Linked DNA regions of Lepisosteus oculatus. The protein of the gene in region 2 interacts with the protein of the main gene of each other region in a pairwise test. Links are inferred from orthologs where the notes say so. Each region holds a gene or a part of one and is shown on either strand. Other genes may lie near its edges.

Evidence for each region.
Region 1: the proteins of banp (region 2) and zmiz2 interact in binary tests that used the Homo sapiens proteins (3 or more experiments, as listed by UniProt). The two-hybrid records come from large-scale screens. The link is inferred for Lepisosteus oculatus from reciprocal best matches to the Homo sapiens genes BANP and ZMIZ2.

The regions. Positions count from the first base shown.
Region 1 is NC_090697.1:69,337,835-69,345,756, reverse strand, and holds the start of zmiz2 (zinc finger MIZ domain-containing protein 2), read right to left. Parts: upstream 3,149-7,922; 5' UTR 2,527-3,148; intron 1-2,526. UniProt on the Homo sapiens protein: Increases ligand-dependent transcriptional activity of AR and other nuclear hormone receptors.
Region 2 is NC_090715.1:13,362,979-13,371,300, reverse strand, and holds the start of banp (protein BANP), read right to left. Parts: upstream 3,081-8,322; 5' UTR 2,944-3,080; intron 1-2,943. Other genes in the region: pdcd2l (programmed cell death protein 2-like), read right to left, coding at 5,195-5,325, 5,899-6,053, 6,717-6,830, 7,700-8,055. UniProt on the Homo sapiens protein: Controls V(D)J recombination during T-cell development by repressing T-cell receptor (TCR) beta enhancer function. Binds to scaffold/matrix attachment region beta (S/MARbeta), an ATC-rich DNA sequence located upstream of the TCR beta enhancer.

The DNA.
Region 1 (7,922 bases), on a different chromosome or scaffold from region 2:
TCTGGGATCCTGACCTCGCAGCCAGGGGCGAGACAGAGACGCATCACAGTTCAAACCAGCTGCTCCCCTTCTCTTCTCCCACTCGCAGCGTCCCAGGCTGAGAGAGTGGGGCAGCTCGGGCAGGAGGGGGGCACAGAGCACACAATTGTCCTAGCACGTCCATCCACCCAGCCCCCCCGAGCTGGAAAGACGTGGCAAGACTGACCAGTCGGACCACTGGCAGCGGGGCGGGGCCGAGCCGAGCTCAGGACACTCCTCATTTAGGAGAACAGGGAAAAAAAGATGGGAGAGCTACCAGATCTGTGTGTGTGTGTGAGAGAGAGGGGTGTTCAATGAGTTGGCAAGGCCATCCACATTCAGCCTAATCAAACTTGCCTCTCGAAAAGCTCGGCAGGCGACGGTTTCGCAGCAGACAGGACAGCCTTGACTGAGCTGGGCAGAGGGCACAAGCGAGTCTCACCCTGACGCACAGGAGAGAAAGGGCACAATCCCGAAACTATCCGCACAGCGCCAGCGCGTGCATTTCAACCCCGCGTCTGAAAGAAACAGTGGCCACACAAAATTCATTTCACCCCAGACATCGCCGAGTCCCTTGATCAGAGAACTGGTACTTCGCCAGGGCGTTTCAGCCCCTCCAAGAGAAATGAGTCCCACAGCAGGATACACACAGCACTGACCTGTCTCGGGAGCTTTTATTACAATAAGCACTAAAGCACATAAGTATGAAAGCATCATGAACTACTACACAGTGTAACAGAACACAGCAGCACTCACTTAGAGTTAACTTTTTTTTTATTCCAAAGTCACCTCACAAAATATTACTCACTCTAACTCCTACAAACAAAAAATACCCTCATGTCACCCCAGGAGTGATCTATTACTAAATCACTTACTGAAAGCAAAATGTCACACCCGAGCATAAGTCTGCACTAGCATATTTCTCTCGACAGGTCTTAAGCACAGAGTTTGGCACAAAATGTCATGTACCGTTATCAATAATTCACAGCACAGTCAGCAACCCCGGGTCGAACGCTACCCACCCACATGGACAGAGTGAGCTCAGGGTCCTCGCACTCGTGAAAACACAAAACGCCATCTGAACTTTAGCATATTATGAGTAATCAACACTGAGAGCCGCAGCCGTCTCTGAACAAAACCGAGATGCAGCCCTGCTCGCAGATGCTAACAGGTAACAGATTAGTCAATGGCATTTGGGCAGTCGTCTCCATTTCTGAGCGAACTCTTTTTAAAACTCTTGCAGTGACAAACGATAGGGTCAGGCGGTCAGTCCGATGACGTTTTTGCACAGGGCTTTTAACAAGTCACCGACACACGCTGCCTGAGTTTTGGTGGACAGCCATGGGCGAGTGATCCGTGCTGTGAGGAGCAGGTGGAGGTGTGGTATCGACCCAGCTGTCCGCCACAAGACGCGATCGGATGAGGGGGTTCAGTGCGCTGGTGGACGCCGTCTCAAAAGTGGGCTACAATACGATAATCGTAGCCCTCCGAGAACAAGAAAGTCTGTGCTGAATTCCGAGGAGACGACAAAAAAAAGTGTACACAAAATTGCCTCCATAGCCAACTACCGACAAGATACATGCTCAACACCTGGAAACTTTCTACTGTAATAACTACTCCATCTACCAGAGAAAGCGTACTCTACAGCCAAGAACTTAGATCTTAACAGTTTCTGACTCGCTCTGCTGAATTCTTTTGACGGGCTTCATCATCAGAAGCCAACATCCTTGGGGGAGAAAAACAAAACTACGAAACTGGCCAATCTTGCTTTTCGTCACGAAACCGCGGCATCATTCACGTCGCATGCTGGGTACAGGTCTCCAGAGCTCGGCAGGTATCCAACCAGCACCATTTAAAATACCCTCGCTACAGCACAAAAACATTTCTCACGGCATCCCCATCTCGAGTGACAAGACGCAGAAAAGTACGAGGAGGGTAAATAGCACAAAAAAAGACCCCCCAAAAAACGTGACTGCCAGACATCGGGCAGGCAGGTCGTACTCAGGCAGGCTAGGTACAGCCAGCTCAGTCGCACAGTAACGTGTGCCCAGAATGAAATAACAATTGGAAGACATTTTGTACGTCCTTGTAATACCAACACACACTGATGTACGGGAACTAGTTCTCTCTTTCTTTCTTTCCTTCTTAGAAATGTGGTATTTCCCAAAGGCACACCAGGTGTCTCGACCGCGGGGCCTTTGTTAAAGCGCCTGTAACACACCGCGAACTACACGAAAACGACCATTAAAAACGACGGCAAAAAAAAAAACTGTTTTCTTATTTCGGATTTCTCACACTCTAACAACAACAAAAAAATCAAAGCCCACGCCGATCCGGTATCGCAGATCGGGTTGTCCGTTCATTCGCCCTCTCCCCGGAGCACGATTATAAATCAATACATCGTGGTAAAAACAAAACAAAACCACACGCACACACTCATATACGCACATCAAACACGGAGCAGCCGCCGATGGCAGCAACAATGTGGACGCAGCGTCAGTCTCTTACCTTGGACGCGAACTGCCTGCGGTCGCCGCGCGCCGGGGTTCAGACTGCAGGAATCTCCGGGCAGCAGCACGCGCTACTCCTTTTAAATATTGCACTGCGCGGAAGGCGAGAGCAGCTTCTCCTCCGTCCTCCACTCCCCACTCGGAACGGTGCGTGTTCTTTTTTTTAACCTTACCTCCCCCCCCCCTCCTCCGCTCCTCTCCTCCTTTTCCCCCTTTTTCGCTCGCAGTCCTCGATTACCTCGGCTAAGTTGTATTTTCCATGTCGTTATTTCTTGTAATCCTTCGTTTTCCCCCCCTGTTCTCGGCTCTCGTTATTTAGCAACGCGACAGAGCTCCGGAGCTCAGCCTGGACGCGGGTGGCTTGCGGGGAGCTTCGCTAGAGATCGTCCCCGGACACTGCATGAGTGGAGAGTGAGAGTTAGCCTACATACAACGCGACTCGTTTCGCTGCTCTGTGCACAGGCAGTATTTGCCTCGACTCCACGGCTTTACCTCCCTCGGTGTTGCACAATGGGTTGCTATAATTTATTCATGAGATCATGAGGGATGTTGGTTCTCTGTCGGAGGAGGTAAAAAAAGACACTTTTTTTTCTTCGCCTTCCTCACTGCCTTCCCGTCGTCCGCAGTCGCAACTAACCGATCGCCTATCCGATCACAGCTAGAGGACGTTCGCTCCCTCCCCTAGTTTCTCTTGGCTCCGAGCAAACCCCACGGTGTTGAATGAAACGCGGGTCATTTTGGCTCCTGAAACAGAGCCTGTTCCCGTTCCTTGATCTAATCCCGAAGCTAGAGCCAACATGGCTGTCTGTTGTGAGTTGAAGGTGGGGGTGTCGAGGACTGCAGAGTTTTGGGGTTTTCGGAAACGGCGTGATTTCTAACTTGCCCGTCGACCCTTTTGAGGTGGAAAAAGGAATAACATTTGAAATGTGTTGTAACCGCGTTATTCTATCACCGCACATTTGTTTTAAGTGCAAAATAATTGAAGTCTTATACAAACATTCGGCATTTAAAACAAAATAATTTCCCACTAATAAATGATGCATTTGTGTGTGTCCGTTATTCAAAGTGAATTAAAAACAACCACAACACATCAGGAAGACATCTTACCATGTTATTTGGACACTGACGTTTCATTAAGAAGTACCATCTTTGGTGTAATTAATCTCAATACTTTTGATTGAAACGTATACATTCTTTTACACAACGATAATTTTTAGTAACAGTGATGATTAAAATGCAGTCTCACAATAACCAATGATGAAGAATGTCATCATAAGGAAATCTGGGTTTAAAAATAAGTGGGAGACGGTGTGCTATGATCACAAAATAACACACTAACAAATGGTGTCCCTGTACAAAACCCATACTGTACATATTGAAATACCTCACATTTTAATGTCAAAAATCGGCTCCAATCATGTGAGCTGTTCTTCTAACAACTGTGATTGATATAGCACAAACCACTAAACAGGCTAATGTTATTTCTTCTGTAATATCTGTGTTGACAATAACAAATGATAAAACACAAAGTAGAGTAGAGGAGTTTATTGCCACATGTACATGTACATTGGAATTCTTCTTCACGTGTTTATCTCAGTACAGCAAACAACACAGTCCAACAGAAAACACCTCACAATGTAGACAGTACATTACAAAATGTTTCAGAATAGAAAGTGATAGTGTGTACAGTCAATAAACAACCAGAACAATACAAACACGGTAGAGAACAATTTATACGTGGTGAACAAAAACACACGGTAGCCCAAGTCAAAAGTGTATAGTGCAGAGGTGCATTGCGTTCTGGGACATTGCACAGTTAGCTGTTTATGATGCGCACTACCATAATTTAGAAGCTGTTCTTAGGACGTTACTAGAGGACACAAGAAGAATCTACATAGAAATGGATATAAAACTGCGAACGGAGGGTATTTCTTTATGCAAAGGCATGTGGCAATGTGGAACAAGCTACCCAGCCATGCTGAAAGAGAAACATACTCTTCCTCCAAGAAATGGCTGGACGAGTTCTTCTGATCAATTAGCTGTTAATTTCCAGGATGGGTCTCCTCTCGTTTCCAACTGCTGTTACGCTCTGATATTGTGTTTTTGTTCACCACGTATAAATTGTTCTCTATAAATTGGCTTAATTACTCTGCTCTCCTCCCCACTGATGGCTGATGTGTGGTGGGCGTTCTGGCGCACTATGGCTGCCGTCGCATCATCCAGGTGGATGCTGCACATTGGTGGTGGTGGAGGGGATCCCCATTGCCTGTAAAGCGCTTTGAGTGGAGTGTCCAGAAAAGCGCTATATAAATGTAAGCAATTATTATTAATTATTATAGCTATAAAGATTCATGAATGTAATGTCCTTCTTTACAAGTTTGTGTCTTGTCTTTGTGCGCACCTTGTCATGGTGCCTTATGCCTCCTGTTTGCCCACTGCTGCCTAAGAAAATAATTGACATCCTTTCTGACATGACCTTCCCTGAAAAGGGCAAGATTAGTCCTGACAAATTAAACCTTTCATTTACTCAACGTGTGATCTCTTTCAAATCTTACCACTAGGCAACCACTAGGTATTGCATTGATTTCAAGAGGAGAAGGCTACATTACTAATCAGTATGGCTCCCTATGTGCCAGATCATCAAATACCCACTTTGCAATTACGAGCTCCATACCTACAAATGGAGAGTAAGTAGGTTCATACTGGAGTGTATAAATACATAAAGTTTCCTCTCAGGTTTAGCCGTAAGTGCCTCTTGAGTTTAAAGTTATTAATGCATTGAAATCCATGCCTTGGATGAAGAAAATAAGTTTCCATGTTTTGTACTGTAGGCGTTGGATGCTTTGGGTGTTTTTATGTGCAGTGCTTTCAGTCAATAAACTCATTGGCTTTGGAACTGTCTTCCTGAAAGGACAATGAAGGCTAAAATGTCCTTTCTGGATATACTTAATGGAAATTGAGTTTATTTTATTTGAAATGTCATTGCCTTTGAGAACGCCCTGGCTCTGCTTTCACAACTGATTTACTGTAAATTGATTTGCTGTTTTCAGTGAACGCTGCTGCCACTGGGCTGTACCTGAGTGTCAGGCACAGAAGGCCTACAGTACTAGCATGGAGCCGAGTTCCTGGTGGTGGTCAACTCTGCTGAACTGGCTCGGTCCACCTTTCACCCAGCACATGTCAGCATGGGGCAGGAGGATGCAGAGAGTGTCCAGCTCACCCCCGGCAGCCTACCTGCCAGCATGTCAGCACTGCAGCTTGAATAGCAGGGGGGACACTGGGGAGGAGTTACCAGGCCATGAACAAACACAAAGAGAAGGTCAAGAAAGGTCACACCCAGTCACACCCTCATCAGGACTCAACAACACCGGGGAAAATTCCATCTGAGAGGGAGAGAAAAATCTCAGGAAAGTAGAGAGACACAGACAAGGAGATAAGGAGCAGGACTGGAGATAATGACTGAGAAAGGAGACAGACAAACAGAAACGAGGGGAAGAAGAAGAAGAAAGGCTTGCACAAGAGTACATGACAAACACATCTTACCTTAACCATCTCCCACATCCTTTCCACTCAAACAGAAAGCTACATTGAAGGCTACACCATGTGAGCCAAGCAAATCCTGCCTCAGGAACAGTGCCAATATTTCATTGACACAGGTTAAACTCTGGCTTCTTTCTCAGTAATTTCATACAGATTTTCTGACTTGACCCACAGCTGTTCCAAGATTTTACATCACCTCAGTGGTAAGGATCAGCTGATCCATTATTAATTACTTGATTAACAAACTTGTTCGCTACACTAGGTTTCCCAGAGTCCCTCAGCTAGTGGCTTACTCCATTTAGACTGACATATGAGCAAATAACACTGTACCACTAATATTAGCAGTACCACACAGATATACCATCCACCAGGACACAAAACACTTTTGCACATGAAAATCACTGACTAAATCAGTAAAAATCTCTTTGCATTGAGAAATATCTTGTCTTCTTAATTACGATTGAAAGATGACTACAGCTTTGTATATGCAGTATTCAGTGCTTCTAGTATCCACAACATTCCTGCCATTTTAATGCTAATACTATTAAATATAGAACTTCATCTTTCCCATGCTTGGGGCATGTTGTTGATCTCTTCCTTGCCGAAGACCCCAGGGAAATATTCATTCATCAGCCATTTCCTTTATCATCTCAGAAACTTTGCCATTATCATAATCTCTGAGACATAATTTTTATCCTGCACCATTCTTTTGCCGACATGATACGTGTCACAACATGACACAATACTTAACAAAATAAAACTTTATTTATTACTCTCCATTGCATTTATTTTTCTTTCCATTTTCTTTTTTTCTCTTTCTTGTGTTCTGGGATATTCTGTTTTAACCAAACCCTATATGGTTGGAAATATTCACTTAACTGTGCTCCATTTCTTTAACTGGATGCTGTACTTTTTGAATCACTCTATAAAGTACCTCCTTTCTCCTCACATTTTTCTTAGTTTATTACACTATATGGACAACTGCTTCTGATGGGAGTTACTCATGGGATTAAAGTAAAAAGAAATAATCAAAGTATTGCCATGCATTCTATGTAAAGTTTCAAAAATGAAATGTAAAAAAATGTGGTCCATTTTATGATAGTTACCACAGTTACCTAATGGTTCTCTCATCTCTGTTTTCCTCACCCTGTCTTGTTATAGATGATTAAAACGACATATTTATTCCTTACCCTAGCGTCCTATGACAAGCTCACTAAGCTGTTGTATACGTGAATTGGATATTTAAAAATGGGAAAAAAAGTTAAACGATTAACTATGCACTTGTGAAGTCCTTAATCTATTTTGGGGATATAAGTGCGCGGGTATGCTTTAGCCTTAATTACTCATTTACCTACGTAAGGGTTTCAGTTGAACTGTTTCTCCCTCTTACAAAACGTGGAAAATTGCACGCGGCGCAAGCCACAAATTTAAATGTTCACATTTAAACATGTAGTTGTTGAGGATCTGTTCTTTGTTACGCTTCCTTAACGTCTGAAATTGTGGTTCCACCTTTACAAAAAAGAACAGTCTCTAAGACATCGAGTCAATAAGGCACTTAACCAAGCGAGGCCGGAATGGCCTGTACCACATCCACACATGAGAGGTGCAAGCGTTCGCAAATTTTATTGAGAAATTGTAAACACCTGCGTGTCCTCGGTAATACATGGGCATTTCTTTTATTCAACCGTACTATACTACATTTAACAGGTTTTTAAACAACAAAGGCCTTCTCCAGTTACAGAATAATAAAAAATAAAAATATACCATCCTGGCGGTGGCGGTTGGTATATTCTGCCTGCGAGTGCTGTAGCACATCATGGGAATTAGCCAACAGAGGAACTGAGCTCTGGGGCC
Region 2 (8,322 bases):
CAAAATGCTCTATTTATCAGTTATCAGTTATCCACAGTTAAAGACAGGATATTGCCATGCAGGCATCATTACTGATTGAGCTGTTGAAGAGCTACTCAATTTATAAAAACATCTTGACTAGCTAAACTTGTTGAAGGAAGTTTTCTTTAATTAATTTCACCACTACCACTCTTTCAGTTTCTCTTTCCTTAAACCTGCCCACTTGCCTGTCTCCGCAACTTCAGAAATGCTTTTCCAGAACGACAGTTCTTTAATGGTTACTATTTAGTCCTGGCACGTTTTCTATTTCTCCAGTACTGAGTGACACTTTCCACTAGGAAAAGCAATATCATCGTGACTTACATAACATTCTATTTTTAAGCACTGCTTATCCATAACAACATAAGAACAGTTACAATGCAAGCAGAATGAATGTTGCAGCAGAATACTTTGTGAGGAGCTTTATTTGAAATGATAAAATGCAGGTTAGGACCTGTGTCTGAATATTTTGCAGAGTTAAAAACAAAACAGTGCTGTGCATCTTACTTTCCACCCAGCTGATGTTCTTTAAGGCAAAGTTCAACATAACTTTTGTGTAATAAAACAATTCTAGAGGCCTTTTTCACACAAGAACAACACATGGTCCTGTTGCTGCAAGCCTACATGGGCTAATATTCCAAAATTTAGCCAGATCAGTTTCATTTATGACAATGGACAGCTTGCAATCAAGCAAAACAATACTTTGAAATCACTTCTTGCTGTTTTGTCAAAATCGGTTCCATCTCTGTGATCCTAACAGGCCACTAAAGGGCTTGTAGTTACAGGTAATGCGTCACTATGTAGTGTTGTTCATACAACTCTGTAATCTGTGCTCTCCACATACACCAGGAACATCCATCTATCCATCATCAGAAAAGCACATATTTGTGGTAAGAGACTTCACCCTGGATAGGATGTATGTTCATCACAACGTATGCCCAGACACACAGGCACAAATTACAGACACCAACTAACGAAGCCAGTACGTCTTTGGAGGGCATGTGGAGCTGTGGAGCGCCCTTCATGGAAACATGGGGAGACTTTACACAGACTGGCACTGAACTCAGGGCCCGGGAACCACAGGGCACCCATACTAACCACCATGGCGCCCCATCAAAAGTAATATTCCAAACAGAAATAAGACAAAAACCTGATTTCCATCGAAACCTTACAAGCTGAAACATTCTCTCGACACAAGTCAATTTATCTTCTGCTCTTAATCATTTCCTGTGGTTGCACATGGCACAGACTTAAGGAGCGACAGTGCTGAGAATCAAGGAGCAGGACCCAGAAGGTGTGTTGATGGAAAACATCTGCTGTGTGTGTGTGTGTGTGGGTGGACAAGGACCACGTATCACCCTCAATCTGGGACAAAATATGAGAAATTGCCCCGGCACAGGTGGACACTCCTGACACACCACACGTGAAAGTCCACAAAATGAAAATGAATGTATTTTTTGCAAATCAAATGCCATCTTCCTTAAACCAAAAGGCAGTAAGACCACTTCATTCAGATCTACGTTTACCATGTGTATAGCTGCATTTCCACGCTGGAAAGAACAGAAAAAGGGAGCAAAACCTGTCTTCTCCAGCATCTAAACTATGCTCCACCCAGCCTTCTTCAAATGTACAGGATATTCTAAAAATCTGTATCCACTCAATATGTCCGTGTGTGATTGTAAGTACACGCTGAATATTACTGATCTATCAGCGCCATAATGGGGAATAAAATGTTTTTTAATTGCTTTCAAAACAAATCAGGAAATACAATTTTGGAGGGCTTTGAGCAATAACTGAAAAACAAATATACAGAACACACCAGTAGCAGGAGTAAAAAAAATATTTCAAAATTCAGGTGGTTCTGAGATATAATTTACACAGCAGGTTAATCTATTGTAGGAGGCCTGAAATTGAGTGTCACGAACTTGCAGTTCTTCACTTCATATATTACAGAACGTGATATTTGATATTTGCTTTTGACACGATCATTACAAAAAAAAATCTATTTAAGTTATAAAGCCATCTCAACACCACTGGAGATAATTTAATAAAAGCTTGCTTAATGAAAGTCACCCCTGCAAGAAACGTAGTATCTTAAAATAATCATCACTGTAAATGTGCCATCGACTAATAATGATGAAACGACGACTCAACTGGTAGGATATACCAGAAATACAGTAGTTTGCTTTGCTACTAAGCGTACACTGTGGCTTGTCAAAAATGTGTTCACGATTCGTCTTTGCTAAGCGTTTTAAAAACGAAAAAGTGTCTTAGAGCAACCGCAGGTCTGTAGAGACCTGATCAATCAAGACATACCAATCTGACTTTGCAACCAAAAACGTCCATCGTAGCCGACGTGCAAAAGTCGTTTACACACCAAAATCTCACTTGCCTGGCATGACCAAAAGCATGTAAATTCGCTTGCTTTTGCAAAATTATATCACCCTAACAAATAAAAAAAATATCTGAAGGAATACCAACCATATATGGTTGCAAATGGAGTTCAGCAACATTCGTATAAAATACAAAACAAGCGGAAAAATATTTTCAGGAGCAACAGCGGAAATACTCCATTTTATTTGACAGCAATGCCTATCGAGTAAATAATAATAATATGAAGACACAGGTTTCACAAAATAAAATTAACAGCAGGCGATCACTGGGGAAGATCGCCTACACGGAGACTTTTGAAGTAGGCCCCGGCGCTCCAGTGCACTTAGCAATGAACAGAGACATTAAAATGTCTATCGTAAGGTTACTGGTACAAACAGAAACACAATGTTAAAATGCATACATGCATTCTGCATAGAAGGCGGGGAGGGGGGGGGGACAATATTTCTACGGAAAATGACTATCGCTCGGACCCCCGTCTCCAGCCCGACTCCGGCAGCACAATACCAGCAGCGTCAGTTCGGTTTATATTACCGTGTGAATGATGAATTCTCGTGTTGTTTGTTAGGGATTCCGATAATGGCGTCCTTCCTCGCGAGAGGAAAAAAAAAAAAGAGCCCAGGCCGGCTCCTGCGCGCTCCGCTCCCCTCGCGCTGCCTGCTCTGCGGCGGCGCAGTGGCTCGGGCGCTCTGCGGGGAGGGGGCGGGGCCGGCGGGTGTAGGCGAGCCGGTCCGTTTCGGGCGCCTTCCGTTTGCTTCCTGTGTGGCTACAACAACAACAACGACACCTTTCCACGAAAAAAAAAAAAGGGGGCCCTGTTAACTTCTCTGGTTTTCCGAAACTGCTTCGACTTCGGCGCGGAGCCCTGCAGACGAGCCGCGGAGATAACGAGTGACGTTGAGGTGCTTTGTGGGGGACAAGGACTCGTACCGTGATGCGAGCAAACCGTTGGGATTTTATTTCTGTGTCCATCAGAAGTTCGGGGTTTTGTTCAGGTCCAAGGGCTACTGTTTTAGGCGATGTGGAAGATTGTATGTGTACTGGGGTAGAATCAACTACTGAGTACTTAACGGTATTCCAGGTCTCGTCGTAAGTTCGTATTCCTTTAAAAAAAAAAGACATGCAAAAGCTTATATTGAGGTTATAGTACCTGCAAATCCGTTTACCATTCTGCAACATCATACAGTGGGTATAGAAAGGCACCACCTCCTTTCACAATTTGTACCTTTTGTTGCATGACACTGAAAATAAAAACAAATTAAACGAGGCTTGTTCCATTTTTTTATTTACACACGGTAACCCACATTAGCCAAGCGATAATAAAATTCTAAAGCATTCTAAAAAATTAATTAGTATTACAACAGTAAAATACCTTATTTGGGTAAGTGAACACCCCCTTTACAACTGCATTTGTAAACGTGCTCAGGTATAACCAATCACCTTGCAGATCACACAACAAACGAATTGACTCCCACCTATGATCAATTGTGTGCACATGACAACAATATCACAAGCGCTCCACAAAACTGACCTGTATGGAAGGGTGGCGAGAAAAAAGCCACATAAAAGCACCTTAAAGACACTGTGGCCAAGTGGCAAAAGGTGCTGTGGTCAGCTGAGACCAAAATCAAACCTTTTTGCCAGAATACAAAATGGTATGTCTGGCAAAAACCCAATACATCTTACCACCCAGAGAACACCATTCCTACAGTAAAGCACTGTGGTGCCAGCATCTTGTTGTGGGGGTATATCTCTTCTGCTGGAACAGGGGCACTTCTCAGGATAGAAGGGAAGATGGATGGTGCAAAATACAGGCAAATCCTTGAAGAAAACCTGCAGCCGTCGGCCAGGAAGTTGAAAATGGGAAGATGGTTCACCTTTCAACGTAACAATGACCCACAGCACACCACCAAAGCAACCATACAGTGACTGAAGGACAGGAAGGTGAATGTCCTTGAGTGGTCTAGTCAGAGCCCAGACCTCAATCCCATCGAAAATCTTTGACTTGAAGAGGGCAGTCCATCAAGTCACCACGCAGTTTGAGCTTGAAATATTCTGTGAGGAGGAATGGGCAAATATTCCTCCCTCTAGGTGTGCAAAGTTGGTAGAGGTGTATCCAAACAGACCTCAGGCTGTAACCAAGCAAAAGGTGCTTCCAGGTATGAACTGGCAGGGGATGTCCTCTTATCCAATCCAGTTATTCTATTTTTATTTGCAGAATTTTTTTTTTCACTTGGTTGTTGCTTATCATTTACTCGCTTGCAATTTTTGTGCAATTATTCACGACAAATTCTAGTATTTTGAACAAAAGACTGAAATCTTTTTTTAAAAATTATAGCAACACAGGAGGCCTTGTTTTAGGTGAAATCATTTAACATTTTACAATGAATATATGAATTAGTTAATTCCCTCTGCAGTTTCACACTTGCTTAATTTTATTAGTTTTAACATGTGTTCATGATTTCTTAATTTTCTAACTTTGAAAATGTTTAGGTTTCTGAACCCCGGGCTGAACAGGGTTAGCAATGCAGATCAGACATGAAATCTTGTAAGATCCTACATCCAAACCGTTGATGCTGTTTGAACTTTAAATTCTCCTGCTTCAGTTATTAAGCCTCCCATCGTGAGCATCTGTTTTATAATTCTGTTTGCTGAATGTAAGGTTAATGTTTATGTATGCATGTAATTGCTTTGCTTCTTTGCAAAGGTCACTTGACCTTTGTGATAATTTCTAAGCAGGTCAAAACACAACATTTTGGACTTTCATTTCTTTTTATTGACACTTCTATCTGAACAATTTCTGATCGGGGTCTGCCTGTACAAAAGGGAACTCCTCCACTGGTGTCTGGTTTCTGGATGGCCAGCAGCTGTCTCTGCAGGTGTAAATGAGCACAATCCCAAACTCCACCGTCCAGTCTAGAGGAGCAAGAGAAGAGCCAGTGTCTCAGAGACAAAGGTGTTTGCAATGGCTGACCACAGGAGAATAGAAGGATTGGCTATGAAATTCAAACCATACAAGCTGCCTTTAACAATGAACAAGTTCTGTAATTTCTCTACACTACTTTTCACTGAGGTCTGTGCTTTTGCTTGATATTCATCAGGAATAACACCACCCGAGCATTAAGTGTGTTGAAAAAATACAGAGTGCTAGTCACAGTAAATTTGGCCTAACCCGCCTGGCTGAGAGACAGAGAGCCCCCCATGTAGAGAGGAGGTGTGAACTTAGAAGCAGCTGCGAATGTAGAAATGGGGTAAAAGGATGTAAAAAGACTAATGCAAATGAGAGAAGGGACTTAGGTATAATTATTCCAGTTTTTTTAACTTGAGGAAATTACATCAGGATTAAGATTTAGGCTAATTGAAGTTGGCTGCTGTCACCCCTCCTGAATTTTCATTGGAAACTTGCATGTTATGCATCTTTTTCTACCCAAGCAATGAAATCCTGCTTGCCAATTTGGATAAAGATTTCCTTCTTAATCCGACACCCACCGTCTTCATTGGCGCCGCGGAGCATGCTGACCAGCGCGGGCATGAGCTGAAACTCGAAGATTCTGGGGCTCCCGCAGTGAGCGCAGGGGGGGACCGTCTTCTGCATGTGGGAGGGAGGGCAGGTAATGAACACGGGCTGCCCATTCCAACAATACCTGCAAAACAGGACAGCTGTGGTTGATAAAGACAAACGGGCAAGGATCCTTATTACTCTGTCCCCACCCACTACTGCCCTGTGCTTTGTAATTTTACAGGCCTGACATTTCCAGGAAAACTACTTCCCGTATAATTATTATTTGGCAGATGCCTGAGAGAAGTACCTTTGCTCTGGAATCTTGGGAGTCCACAGTCAAACAGCTTTGAAAGTGACTCATGGGTGTAAGTGCTTCCTACCGTAATTCATTTACTGGCAAGCGCTTTTGCTTAAAAAATCTAAATTAATGTAATTCTCTGAAAGTGAAGGTGCCCTATTGAAAACTACAATTTTTTACCCTACGCCTCTATAGTTCTTCTGACAATTAAGTGTTAAGTTGTGCACTAATCCAAAGCTGAAAATACTAAAATATACATACTGTTCACATACATCTTCTTGCCAGTCATTTGTATGTTTTGTGACTGGAAAATAGTGCTGCACTTCGCAGGATTATGGAATTCATGACATCCAGTGAAAATTAAGTGATGTTTGCATTGATTCATGGAATAATGGTGGATGTGCATGATGCAGTGAAGTTAGCCATCAACACTGCCAAAACCTCTCTGATCTGAGGTTGTATTTTCATTTGTCTGTAAAAGTGTGAATGCGGGAAAAGTCTCTTTACCTTAACACCTGCCCTGGACACAGCGAGATCGTCTTCATGAACCTGAAGAACTCCTTGTCCCCATGCCTGGCTTTAGTTTTCTCGTATTTTTCTACCTCCCCTCCAGCATCACAGCTGAAATGACGACATGAAAACACGGTTTCAACTTCGGTACTTAATGGTATTTTTTAAGACTTATATTATCAGCTGCAGTTAACAGTGTGAGAAAGGAATCAATGTGACTTTTTAAATGGATATTTGCAGTGGAATCTTAATCTGTTCAGAAGTTTTTCATTTATGTTTATTTCTGTACTTTTTGGGAAGAGAGATTGTTTATAAATGTCAGGTCAGGTCAAGCGCTTTGACCCTTTTCCCATCTTACAATTAGACAGCAACATTATTACCGTGTAGGCAGATCTCAAAAGCAGAGCAACACTGAGATTGGCCAGCAGGGGGAAAAGATATCTCATGTATTAGGAAAACCAAGTTGATGCTGTAAATGACATATTGACATATCAGAAATGTGAGTTCTTCCCTCTAGACCTTGACTTCCAAGCTAATGTCCCAGTGTGCGAAGTGCACAGACTGTGCTGGAGGAGGTTTCCATCCTTGAGATAAAACATTTAACCGAAATCCTGACTAGTTGATCATCCACAGTTGCACTGTTCATTTGCCTAGTCTGTCCTGCCTAAAGTTCCCCCTTTGTGTCCCTCACAGTTCTCCATCTTATTTGTTGCTGTTGCATAATGGCTGCTATATGTTACCCAGATGGATGCTGTACTTGTGGTAGATGAAATGGGTCCTCTTCTATATGTGCCTTTGGGATGAGAAATACTATACAAATGCAAGCCATCATTATTATAACAACGCCACAGTTAATATGCTCAATGCACAGTCCAACTATTATTTGTATGTTTCTAGCTGTGGTCTAAAACTCCAATATAGGGAAATATTAACAAAATGACTGAAAGCACCTTCACCTTTCTGTATCCGGCAGGTCATACCTTAACAGGTCTTCTAACACCACGCCCTCCCTCTTCTCGTACTCGCTCAGCAGCTCCTGAGCATGCGCCATGTCATCCTCAGCGCAGAGCCCCTCCTCCGCCAGCACATCCATGTAGTAGGGCTGGAAAGCAGGTACAGGACCGGAGAGAACCAGGCCCTCCCCTTCTCTCATCTCCTCCTCCAGGCTCAGGCCCTGCAGCCTGCTGCTGACACTGCGGTCAGAGGCACTGGCCTGGGGCGGCGCTGGGGCAGCACCAGCAGGCAGGCTGGGGGAGAAGCCTGTGGTGCCCTGGTCCTCATCCACCCCCCAGTCATCTGCTCCTTCACACCAGTCTCTGTTTGCCATGGGCACCTCCTAGGTGAAGCATTAGAAACAACACCCCCCCTTAGGGCGAGAGCAGAGGCGGAGACACGAGCGCAGAAGGTGTCCTGGAGCTGCGGCATTGGTTTTGTTGGTTGCAGATGCTACAAGTCTCTGTAGCTTTTGGGGTTTTTGTTCATTTGACAACGAACAACCCGAAGGCCTAGCTTTGTTTCCTTTACAAATCGGCGTAAGTGATCTGTTGCTAACCATGCCCGTTCTCAAATGAAAAGACAATGCCAAAGTCCCCATTCTGTGAAA